Linked DNA regions of Kluyveromyces lactis. The protein of the gene in region 2 interacts with the protein of the main gene of each other region in a pairwise test. Links are inferred from orthologs where the notes say so. Each region holds a gene or a part of one and is shown on either strand. Other genes may lie near its edges.

Region 1 (2,102 bases), on a different chromosome or scaffold from region 2:
TTATGATGTTGCGATAAGTCTTTGGTTATGGAAAGAATATATTAAACCGAATTTCGACCTGCAATCTGCTGAAGAGGTATATAAAATTGTATATTTATGAAGAACCTCTTTCGAAGTGAAAAAAAAAAGCCTAGAGATTTCATTATGGAACGGCAACATATGACTTCATCAGCAGGTATTATAAGCAACGCTTTGTCCAGATCTAGGGAACTGTTGCAGCTAGAAATATGAGAATAGGATAAATAGAAGGGAAAACATATCAGAAAGATTTCAAATACTGCTTCGGTATATATCTAGAGCAAAAGGTGTGGAAGAATAGAAAATAATAGCATCGTAGACATTCGACAATGCATTTCATCTTATCATCACTTCAATATTGTTATTCAGGTTCTTTCTTTTAGATCATCTTTTCAACAATATCTGGTTCAAAATTGTGCATTAGTTACTTGTTTTGCATCAAGCAGAACAACCTAATGGAATCATAAAAGAAAACTTAAAGGGAAGAAAGTTTAACTTAATCTCATTCCTCAGAAAACAGGGCATCGTCACCAAAAGTGTTTTCACTCGAATAGGATACATAAAGGAACCCGTCCTTATCCTTGTGTTGTTGGTAAATAGAAGACATTAAAGCTGCTGTTGGAGGTAAAGTATCATTGACAAAGATGAAAATAGCCTTTTCAGCAGGTAGCTTGATTCTCTTTCTAATTACATAAACAAATTGGCCAACAGTCAAATCTCCTGGCACCAAATATTTGCGTTTATCAATGTCTGGAATATCCGATTTGCCACCTCTTTCACAGATCACTGGAATACGGTTATGGAACTTTTGCACTATCCTTTCAGATTCAGCCTTTCTCTTTTCAAATGGGAACTCAGATTTGAATGCAGATTTCATTGCGTTTTAAAACTCTCTCCTATAATACGTAACACCGATAAAAATAATCAAACTCTCTTGAAATATTCTCCTGTCTCTATTTCAAACTAATAACCCGAAAAGATGTTTGTAACTTAACTTTCAAAAGTCTAGCTGATTTGTTCCAACTCTTGAATCGTGTTGTGTCTCTTTTTATCCGTCTTTCTGGTTCTTTCTCTCTCTCAAGAAAAAAACTTGCACGTAATAGCACTGTACTGCACTTTTCTTGCAAAACTCAAACAGATTACTGGGTAGCTAAGAAAAACGCTCTTTGTTTAGTTATCGATGATATGCGCCGCTTTGATCTTCGCGTGTGTTCCCTTTTTATACCCTTTCTGCTGTTTGGAAAATGACAAAACAAAAGTGTTCCCCCCTTAAACGGTTTGAGATGCCGTTGACCCTTAAGTCACGTGGGAAAGACAGAAAATGAATCACGTGATATCCGGGTAACAATACTATGTACGTATATATGTGTGGAAGCTGCTGCTCTATATGCTAAAGCCAGATAAGGTTTCCTCGAGCTCCTGTTGTTCTTGCTCCATCAAGGATTCGTACTCTTCCTGCAGTTCTATCAGCCGTATCAGCTCTTCATCCTCATTTAGCTGTTTTGGCTCCCTCTTTGTGGAAATATTATTCAACATAGCGGGTTCATCGGCACTATTCACGACCTCTCCTTCATCTTCTACCAGTCTATCAATCTCATCTGGCGGTATCTCGTGTTTCTGTGCTTCTTGTTGCATGTCTTGCAAGTGTCGTAGGTATTCTTGTTCCATGACGAATTGTTCCATGTCGTTTCTGTAGCTATTGATCTTCTTCTCTCTTGCCAGTTCCCGTAGTCTGCCCTTCCTTCTTTCTCTCATAAGGTCTCTAATGGGGGACGATGATGATAACGGTTGCTTGTACCTTTGATATTTGAGCTTTCGCTCTTCCAATATTTCATCAGTGATATTAGAATCGGCTCTTCCATCGTTACTTTGGACATTGTCAAGATCGGAATCGCTATCTTCTTCGTGATATCTGCCATGAACCGGACTGCTCGGTATACAGTTCATGTAGAGCTTCAAAGTTGTGGATTAACGTCTGCAATACACCGGACGGCCTGCTCCAGGCTTCTTTCCCCAGCGTACATAGAAATAACCTTAATCCTTTTGGCGTTTAATGATGCTGGTCTAGAGATATGGTTTTTTGT
Region 2 (3,294 bases):
CGCTTCTTGAATTTTAGTAACAGGGAAAAACTGAAAATTTTATTGGTCTTTCCTATATAAGAGGATGAGATGATGTCCTTCATAAGAAGTAGCCGAGTTTCCTCTACGTGGCTGGAACATTGAACGAACAGGAATAAGTGAAGGGTAGGTGCCACACATATTCTTGTCTCTGAATACGTTCAGTTGTGATGGTTCAATTACATCTTGATTTGTGTGTTTTTTTATCTTTTGAAGGATCAAAAGAATCATTACTGAATGTGGATTCATGTAAAATGTCTTACCTAACTAAACACAGGTATCCCCTCGAGATGATGAGATATATCATTATTAACCTTATCTACATTATCTGAAAGTTTAAATTTCAATTGAAGATAAACATGTACAACAATAGCTGAATTTTTTTAAAATACTCGATGTGGTGACAACTGTGTTCTGGAAGTAGTAAATATACGTCTTGTTGCTTGAGGAAATAATATTTAAGTAGTGGTCAGTTGTACAAACACAACCTGCGATTAAATATCCAAATCAGAATCTGTGATAATATCTTGATCTTCTAACGTGATTGGCCCTTCTGTGTTCTTATTGCTTGCAGTTGGAGTTACAAGCTTTACATCGGATTTTTCTTCGGTTGAGGCAGTTTTGTCCGTGCTTGTGTTTAATTTAGAAGTGGGTGTGGATCTTGTTGGAGATTCACTGTGCGGTGCCAAGGTTTTCAAAGGAGAACGGTTATTCTTACCCCTTACTTGTTCTGGAGTGTCTATGTATGTTGTCTCTGCTACGACTTTCTTGGCCCTTGATGGTAATTGGGGTGGGATATCGTCATCAGATCCAAAATCTAGATCATCGTTGTGCAATGAGATCCCAGCATTTTGTAATTTCGTTTGGCCATCGACGTTGTCATTGCCATCACGGTAACGATCTCCGAAGGAGTTAAACCTCGACTGAGAATATTTTGGACGGGATTCGGAATAATTTGGATCGTCATCCACCAGATTCTTGGTGATGCCACTGAACCATGTACTGATCTTTTTACCAGTTTCCTGGATATTACGGTTCAAATTTTCACGAATCTGGGGTAACTCCTTATCGACGAAATTACTGAACACATCGTCTTCACCGTCATCTTCGAAATTGTCATAGCCGTCAGAATCACGTCTTCCCTTTGGTGGAATTGCACCTGCTCCGTACCTCCTCTCGTAATCACGTTCACGTTGTCTGATTCTACGCTCGCGTGCGGTTCTCTCCGAAGCGCTATTGCCATGTTTGTTGAATTTCTTATCCAATTGACGAGCCAATTCTTCGTCCTGCTCTAACTGCGTTTTTGGCTCACGTCTTACACCACGAGTTGGCGCTTGCACCGGTCTAGTTGGTAATGGAGCCTCTTTTTCAAAGTCAGGGTCCGATATGAATAAAAGAGCGTTGAAAGCAGGATCCAACTGGCCCTGAGAAGCAATTAACACTGCCTTCACATATTTCTCCTCAATGTTTGGGAACGCTTCCTTCAATTGTTTTAACATAGGATTTTCCTTTTCACTCTGTTCTTCTGGAGAAACCGATTTTCTTACAGGCAAGGGAGGTGCTGAATCGTCCTCGTCCTCCTGACCGTGATCTTGCCCTTCCTCCTGTTTTTCAGCTTTTTTCACGTTCTCTGTTTCGGTTTCAGTGTCTGCTGGAACTTCTGCTTCTACATTTGAAGCCTTAGTTGCCGCTTCTTCAACTGTTTCCTTGACATCTTCGATCTTCTTGTCTTCATTAGAATCAACGTCAATTGCGACGTCTTCAACTTTGTCACTCATGGTTATATTAGATCTTTCTAATCAAAAAGAATTTGCACCTGTAATTTATCTTCTTCTAATATCCTGGTTGGTTCTGTAATTGAATATTGGCGAGATTCTGCACGGATATGTTCTAATAGGGGTTCTGGTTTTGCAGTCCTAAAGAATCTATATATATTCTTCCTATAATTCCTATTTCTTTCCCACATCATCCTGTCCATTCGGTTATCCGGGTAAGGGCCTTATTTTTTTTCACTTTTTCATCTCATCACGTCAAAGTTGAAGAAAATAGTTTGGACTATATAAAGAGGAAGACTTTAAAGAGGTGCTTGTAATCTCTCTTAATACTATATCACTCTGTCATTTTACCTTTATAGATCTTGATATATTTGTTTTTTTTTCCTAACTCCTCGGAATCTTATTATTCTCTGTTTAGATAAGAACTTGGCGATCAGGGGTCCTTCTAACCTGATACATCGTCGAGCGTGGACAACAGAGAGAAATTAGATGCCGTTGGTTAAAAAAAACTTTCTGGCATATAGTTTAACATAGGGCTGAATTCGTGCCGGCTTGCTGGTTCGTATGAACTGGATGTTTTGCATCCAGGCTCTTAAGACTCGAAAATTTTGGGATGGGTTTCTAAGATCGCTCTATGTTTCACGCACATTTTCACTTAAGCCTATTTTTTTACCGTAGATCACTCATAAACGAATTGTAAGGCGTTACTTAATAAATACATATAGTGTGGACATGTCATGTATCATGCCTTGTTCTTCATGTTTCTTAACTTGTCCATAACTTGGGCTCTGGTCCAACAACCTTGAGAATCTCCGACTTGTCTTCTAACAATTGGATCATCAAGTCTCATAAAGGGATTGAATGATAGTTCATCGGCAATGGTAAAGTGACCAGTGGTGACTTCGTGTTCCTTGGTAAAAGATTCCAATTTATTGAAATGGTCGTTATCGCTTTTCTTCAAGTATATGTAATTGCGGATGAAACTTACGTTTCCTGCAGTATACTCATGACCTGGATATACTTTCACATTCTTCCAATTGGAAGTATCTCCTGTATTCCCTAGTAGTCTGAAGTTCAATGCATCGTCCATTTCTTCAGCAGTTCCTTCGAAAAACCTCCCACATCCACCAGTGAACAAAGTGTCACCGGTGAAGATTGCTTGTTCTTTGGTTTCAGGGTCACGCACGTAGTAACAAGTGGAATCTTGGGTATGGCAAGGTGTTCTAATACACAAGATTTTCAAGTTCCCCAAGGTGTATTCATGTAAGTTATCTGGGATATCATTCGCAATTGGAGAACGTTGAGAACCGGCAATGACTCGAGATATATTATTGCCCTTTTCATTCAAGGCTGCAAGTGTTGACACATTGCCACCAGCATGATCATAGTGATGATGAGTGTTTACAAGAGCTTCAATGCTTTTTGCTTCATCACTGCCAAGATCATTCATCACTTCCAATGTCTCAGCAGGATCGATCAACCAACTCTTTTTCTTATCCTG
Region 3 (4,277 bases), on a different chromosome or scaffold from region 2:
ACTATCAACTCCATGCAGCTAATTTTCGTTATTATCCCAAAATTTAAGCTGGATATATCAATCTCTGGGCAATTACAAAACTCCGTCGGTTAGGAACCAGATACTTCGTTGTCAATTGCTTCCCACATTATAGCATACCTATATAAAGTAACACCTGATAATGGCAATAAAATATAACAAAGCACCATAAGTTGAGGCCTAACGAGGTTAAGAAAAAAATTTCTATGTAATAATATACACATGTTTTGGCAACAATATATCTATAACATATATATGTCTGTGCTTGTGTTTGTGCTTGCGCTTTCTGATTGAATAATTGAGAAGGTGCAGGGTATTGAAAAGATTGAAAGATTCATTCAACTACTCTTGTCCAAATCCGATGGTTTCTTCCACTGCTAATGTTAGCTTCTGCTTGAAAGATTCATAATCAGTGTATGGTGGAAGATCCACTCTGTTGAAACAAGTGTGTGACTTGGGTAGTTGTTGAACTTCACCTGCTTTTTCGATAGTGAATCTTCTTGGACCATCAGAACCTTGCAAATCTTTGAATCCATTGACCGGGATACGCGATGTACCAGTTGTGAATTGTAACAAACGTGCTCTTTGCTCGTTGTCCCATTCAGTGATACATTTCCAGAACCACTGGATAACTTCGTCAGACTCTTGGTATCCACGATAATCTGTGTGTTTTTTCCAGTCTTCAACATCAATTTCTGCAATACCACCAATCAATAATTCAAGTTCACGTTCATCAAACACGTTGACTAGATCTTCAGGAACCAATTCGTTAAATCCATCCATAAATGCCTTAAATTGTTCTTGAACTCTGTCTGCGATCCTCCATTGGGTATATAGTTCAACATATTCTTTCTTGTTTTCATCTGTGACTTCGATTTCTCTGCCGTTTGGTTTCAAATCGACGACAACCAGTTCACCAAATCTTTCATCATCAACATTAAATGTTAGATCTAAAATGCCATCTATGCTATTTTCTAAAATCCATTTCAAGGAGTTGTAGACTTCTGAATCGACACCTTCCATATCTTGTAATACTACCTTCTTTCTTAGCATCATCTTATATAGAGCACCAACGAAGAATGCATCCAAGAACCTTCTATGGAATACACCTAAACCGACGACTCTACCAATGAACTTGAAGTAGTTCAAATGCTCAGGGTTGATACCACTGTTTGGATTGATTTGGATAGTATAGTTATCATGGGCAGAATATTCAAATAGACAGTAGAAGGGATTAAACATCTCGTGTGATAGTAAAAAGAAGAATTCTCTTGAAACACCACCATAATCTAAACCTTCTTCACCGTCAAATTTGATCATTAGTCTCTTCTTTAAGTCTTCTGGCGTTTGTCTCATTATTTCTTGGTAAGAATCTTCGAAGATATTCTTTCTGCGTACTCTGATGTGACATTGACCTGGTAGAATTCTTAAAGCCGGTTGGGATCTGAAGTAAATAACCTTACGTCTGAAGTCACGCTTATACTGTGGAACGTTTTGATCCAAGGAAGAAGGTAATCTAGGATCATCCCAAGTGGTGGTCTTAGTGTTATGGTCAACGAAGTATACACGGGCTGTGTTTGTCAATCTCATCTCCCAACCAGAAGGCAAAGGTCCTAACTGAGATACAGGTTGTTGTTGTATGGTATTTGTGGAAGGCCCATAGGTTCTAATATATTGTTGTCTTCTTGGATCGACCCATGTCGTGGTTCTTGTGTTGTGATCAACGAAGTACGCTCTTCCTTCAGGAGTGAACCGTTGTTCCCAACCTGGTGGAAGTTCACCCAACCCCGATGTGGTACCCCCAGTGGCAGCAAAAGTAGCAGCTGCTGAACCGTTTACGGCAGGAGTTTGAGATCCAGTACCGGTATGAACAGCAACGTTTGATGAAGACGAGCCCTCTGATTGAGCACCACCATCAGGTAAAGTTCTTCCTCTGTGTTGTCTACGTTCTAGTTCGGTGTTGACACGTTGAACCTCGGATTGATCCAAAGTGGGTCTTTTCCATGTTGTTGTCCTTGTATTATGATCCACATAATATGTTCTTCCAAAGTTATCCGTTCTTCTTTCCCATCCTGGGGGTAAACGACCATATTGATCTTCAAACGATGAGTATTGCCTGCTAGCTGACGATTGAGATTGAGCTGTCGAAGGTTGACCGGATGGAGCAGCATCACTTGAACCGGCACCTGAACCTGAACTGGCGGTACCTGCAGCATTCGCAGAATCCTGGTTGTCTAATGTAGTAGTTTGCAAGTTGTTAGCAACAGTCTGAGCAATCAATCTGTTGTCGATAGTGGAAGCGTTCGTCATCGAATCCGATTGACGAGCTGCTCCGGAACCAGCAACAGCACTACCTGCGGCACCAGCAGCTCCATTACGGCTGCCAGCTCTGGGGAGAACCGTCAAAACCAATATTATTCTACCACTTACTGACAACCCGTCGTTAGAACGTTTTAAATCTCTAGTAATAGTCTCTTCACGAGCTCTACCGTTCGAAGTGGCAGTATCTTCGTCCAAGTGACCCAGAATGTCACCAATACGAACGTTGACAACACCTAGGAACCCTTGATCTTTCTTCTTGAACTTTTTCTGATCAAACACTTGAACAGTTAAGATCGAATTTTCACTCACATTTTTGAATTGAAATACTTCATTCCAGTAGGGATTCAACGTCTTCTTTGCAGCCGCTGTGGATTTCGTCTGAGAACCATCGATAGTCAAAACTGCAAACGGATCAGGAGATCTAAACACATCCCTCCTGTTCAATGACTCAGCAGCCACTAGTTTCACAGAGATAGACATATTTCGCAGCTTTTTATTTTTTTAATGGTTTGTCAATTTCAAATCCGATAATTTCTCCTTCAAAGTGGAATCTCAATAACAAATTGAAAAGTCTTCAAACACTAGATATCTGATAAGTGGTAGTAACAGCAATAATTATTAAACAAATAAAACCGCCCGAGAAAGCCTATAAGGTTTTATTTTTTGTCTTTTGTCTTCTTTAATTGTCGTAATTGCAAAGAAACAGAACAGGAAACAGAACCAGAAAAAAAGTTGATGATTCCTCTAAAAAGAAGCAAAGAAAAATCAGATCAATACCTTGCTCAATACCCTTTTCCGTACCGTCCTTTTTGCCACTGTCAATGCACGTTTGCTTATCCTCTAGCACCTTGATCTGATGATTAAATCGGATGTTGTTTGCAAGTAAAGTATCTTTGTTCTTGTTTTGTTTCCTTAATTAAAATATGCAAATCACAATTTTCTTTTCTCCTTTACTTGTCACGTGAGGAGATTGAAACCTGGAAAAAGAGTACTAAAGAGGGATACCAGGCTACGCCGAGTATGTCAGTAAATTCGGAAACGGCATTAATGGCGGTGGTAGCCACCAGGTTGCAAGAATCTGCCGTATTGCTGTCAGATGACGTGCATATGGGACGATTATGGGCATCACGTGACAAAAATCATATCGTCCAAAATGACATAAATATAAACAAGCCTTTGCCAGCTTTAAAGATGCTGGGTTTGTTTACAGGTAAACAAACCTCTTGCAAACATAAACAGGATGTTTGCTCATATGGCTGCCTAACACACTCAATAGGTAACGTGCCTTTCTCTAATTTTTGTTGCTTGTTCTGCGTTTGGTCCTATTTTTGATTGGCTCAGTGTTTGCTAGTGCTATTTTTATTTGCCCTGTATCATATATAAACATGTCGTTTCTAAAAGTGACCAGCTCTTACTCCTCTAATGGATGTACCTGTTAACAATCAATTATTCTCTGCAGTGCAAACATTACACAAAGTCAAATAAGAAACTGTATATTGCGAAAATTATGACTGAATTCTACAGGGCTCCAGAGATATTCAGACAGAACGCCATCATCGTCAAGAAGAGTAGAAGAGATATTAGCGATGACGAGAACAGTACTATTGTCAGGCGGAATTGCAAGATAGAGGCTTCGAAATTGAACAGTTCCTTGCTAAGGAAGGTTAGTGGTGATTTGAACGATGTCATTGTCACGAAAAAATTGAAGACAGATTGTTGGAAACTGTCAGAAGACACTAGGGACGTCACTTCAATGTCATTGGATAGGGACACCATTCTACTTTCCACATCACAGACATCGGATAATTTACAGTTGTTCCAATTGCGGAATAATGAAATTAATGAGCAGGCTCGCGGTGGGAAATTGCTCCATAGTTTACAAACCATTACTGTTCCAGGAAAATCTATTCTGGCTACAGATATCATGCAATCGCAGA

Evidence for each region.
Region 1: the proteins of CUE5 (region 2) and ATG8 interact in binary tests that used the Saccharomyces cerevisiae proteins (3 or more experiments, as listed by UniProt). The link is inferred for Kluyveromyces lactis from reciprocal best matches to the Saccharomyces cerevisiae genes CUE5 and ATG8.
Region 3: the proteins of CUE5 (region 2) and RSP5 interact in binary tests that used the Saccharomyces cerevisiae proteins (3 or more experiments, as listed by UniProt). The link is inferred for Kluyveromyces lactis from reciprocal best matches to the Saccharomyces cerevisiae genes CUE5 and RSP5.

Annotation. Positions count from the first base shown.
Region 1 is NC_006041.1:1,828,490-1,830,591, reverse strand, and holds ATG8 (ubiquitin-like protein ATG8), read right to left. Parts: upstream 896-2,102; coding exon 521-895; downstream 1-520. Other genes in the region: RTT105 (Rtt105p), read right to left, coding at 1,402-1,965.
Region 2 is NC_006042.1:1,483,871-1,487,164, forward strand, and holds CUE5 (ubiquitin-binding protein CUE5), read right to left. Parts: upstream 1,797-3,294; coding exon 513-1,796; downstream 1-512. Other genes in the region: hydroxyacylglutathione hydrolase GLO4, read right to left, coding at 2,536-3,294. UniProt on the Saccharomyces cerevisiae protein: Connects the ubiquitin pathway to autophagy by functioning as a ubiquitin-ATG8 adapter and thus mediating autophagic clearance of ubiquitin conjugates under starvation conditions.
Region 3 is NC_006041.1:1,196,676-1,200,952, reverse strand, and holds RSP5 (NEDD4 family E3 ubiquitin-protein ligase), read right to left. Parts: upstream 2,821-4,277; coding exon 361-2,820; downstream 1-360. Other genes in the region: DSE1 (Dse1p), read left to right, coding at 3,767-4,277. UniProt on the Saccharomyces cerevisiae protein: E3 ubiquitin-protein ligase which accepts ubiquitin from an E2 ubiquitin-conjugating enzyme in the form of a thioester and then directly transfers the ubiquitin to targeted substrates.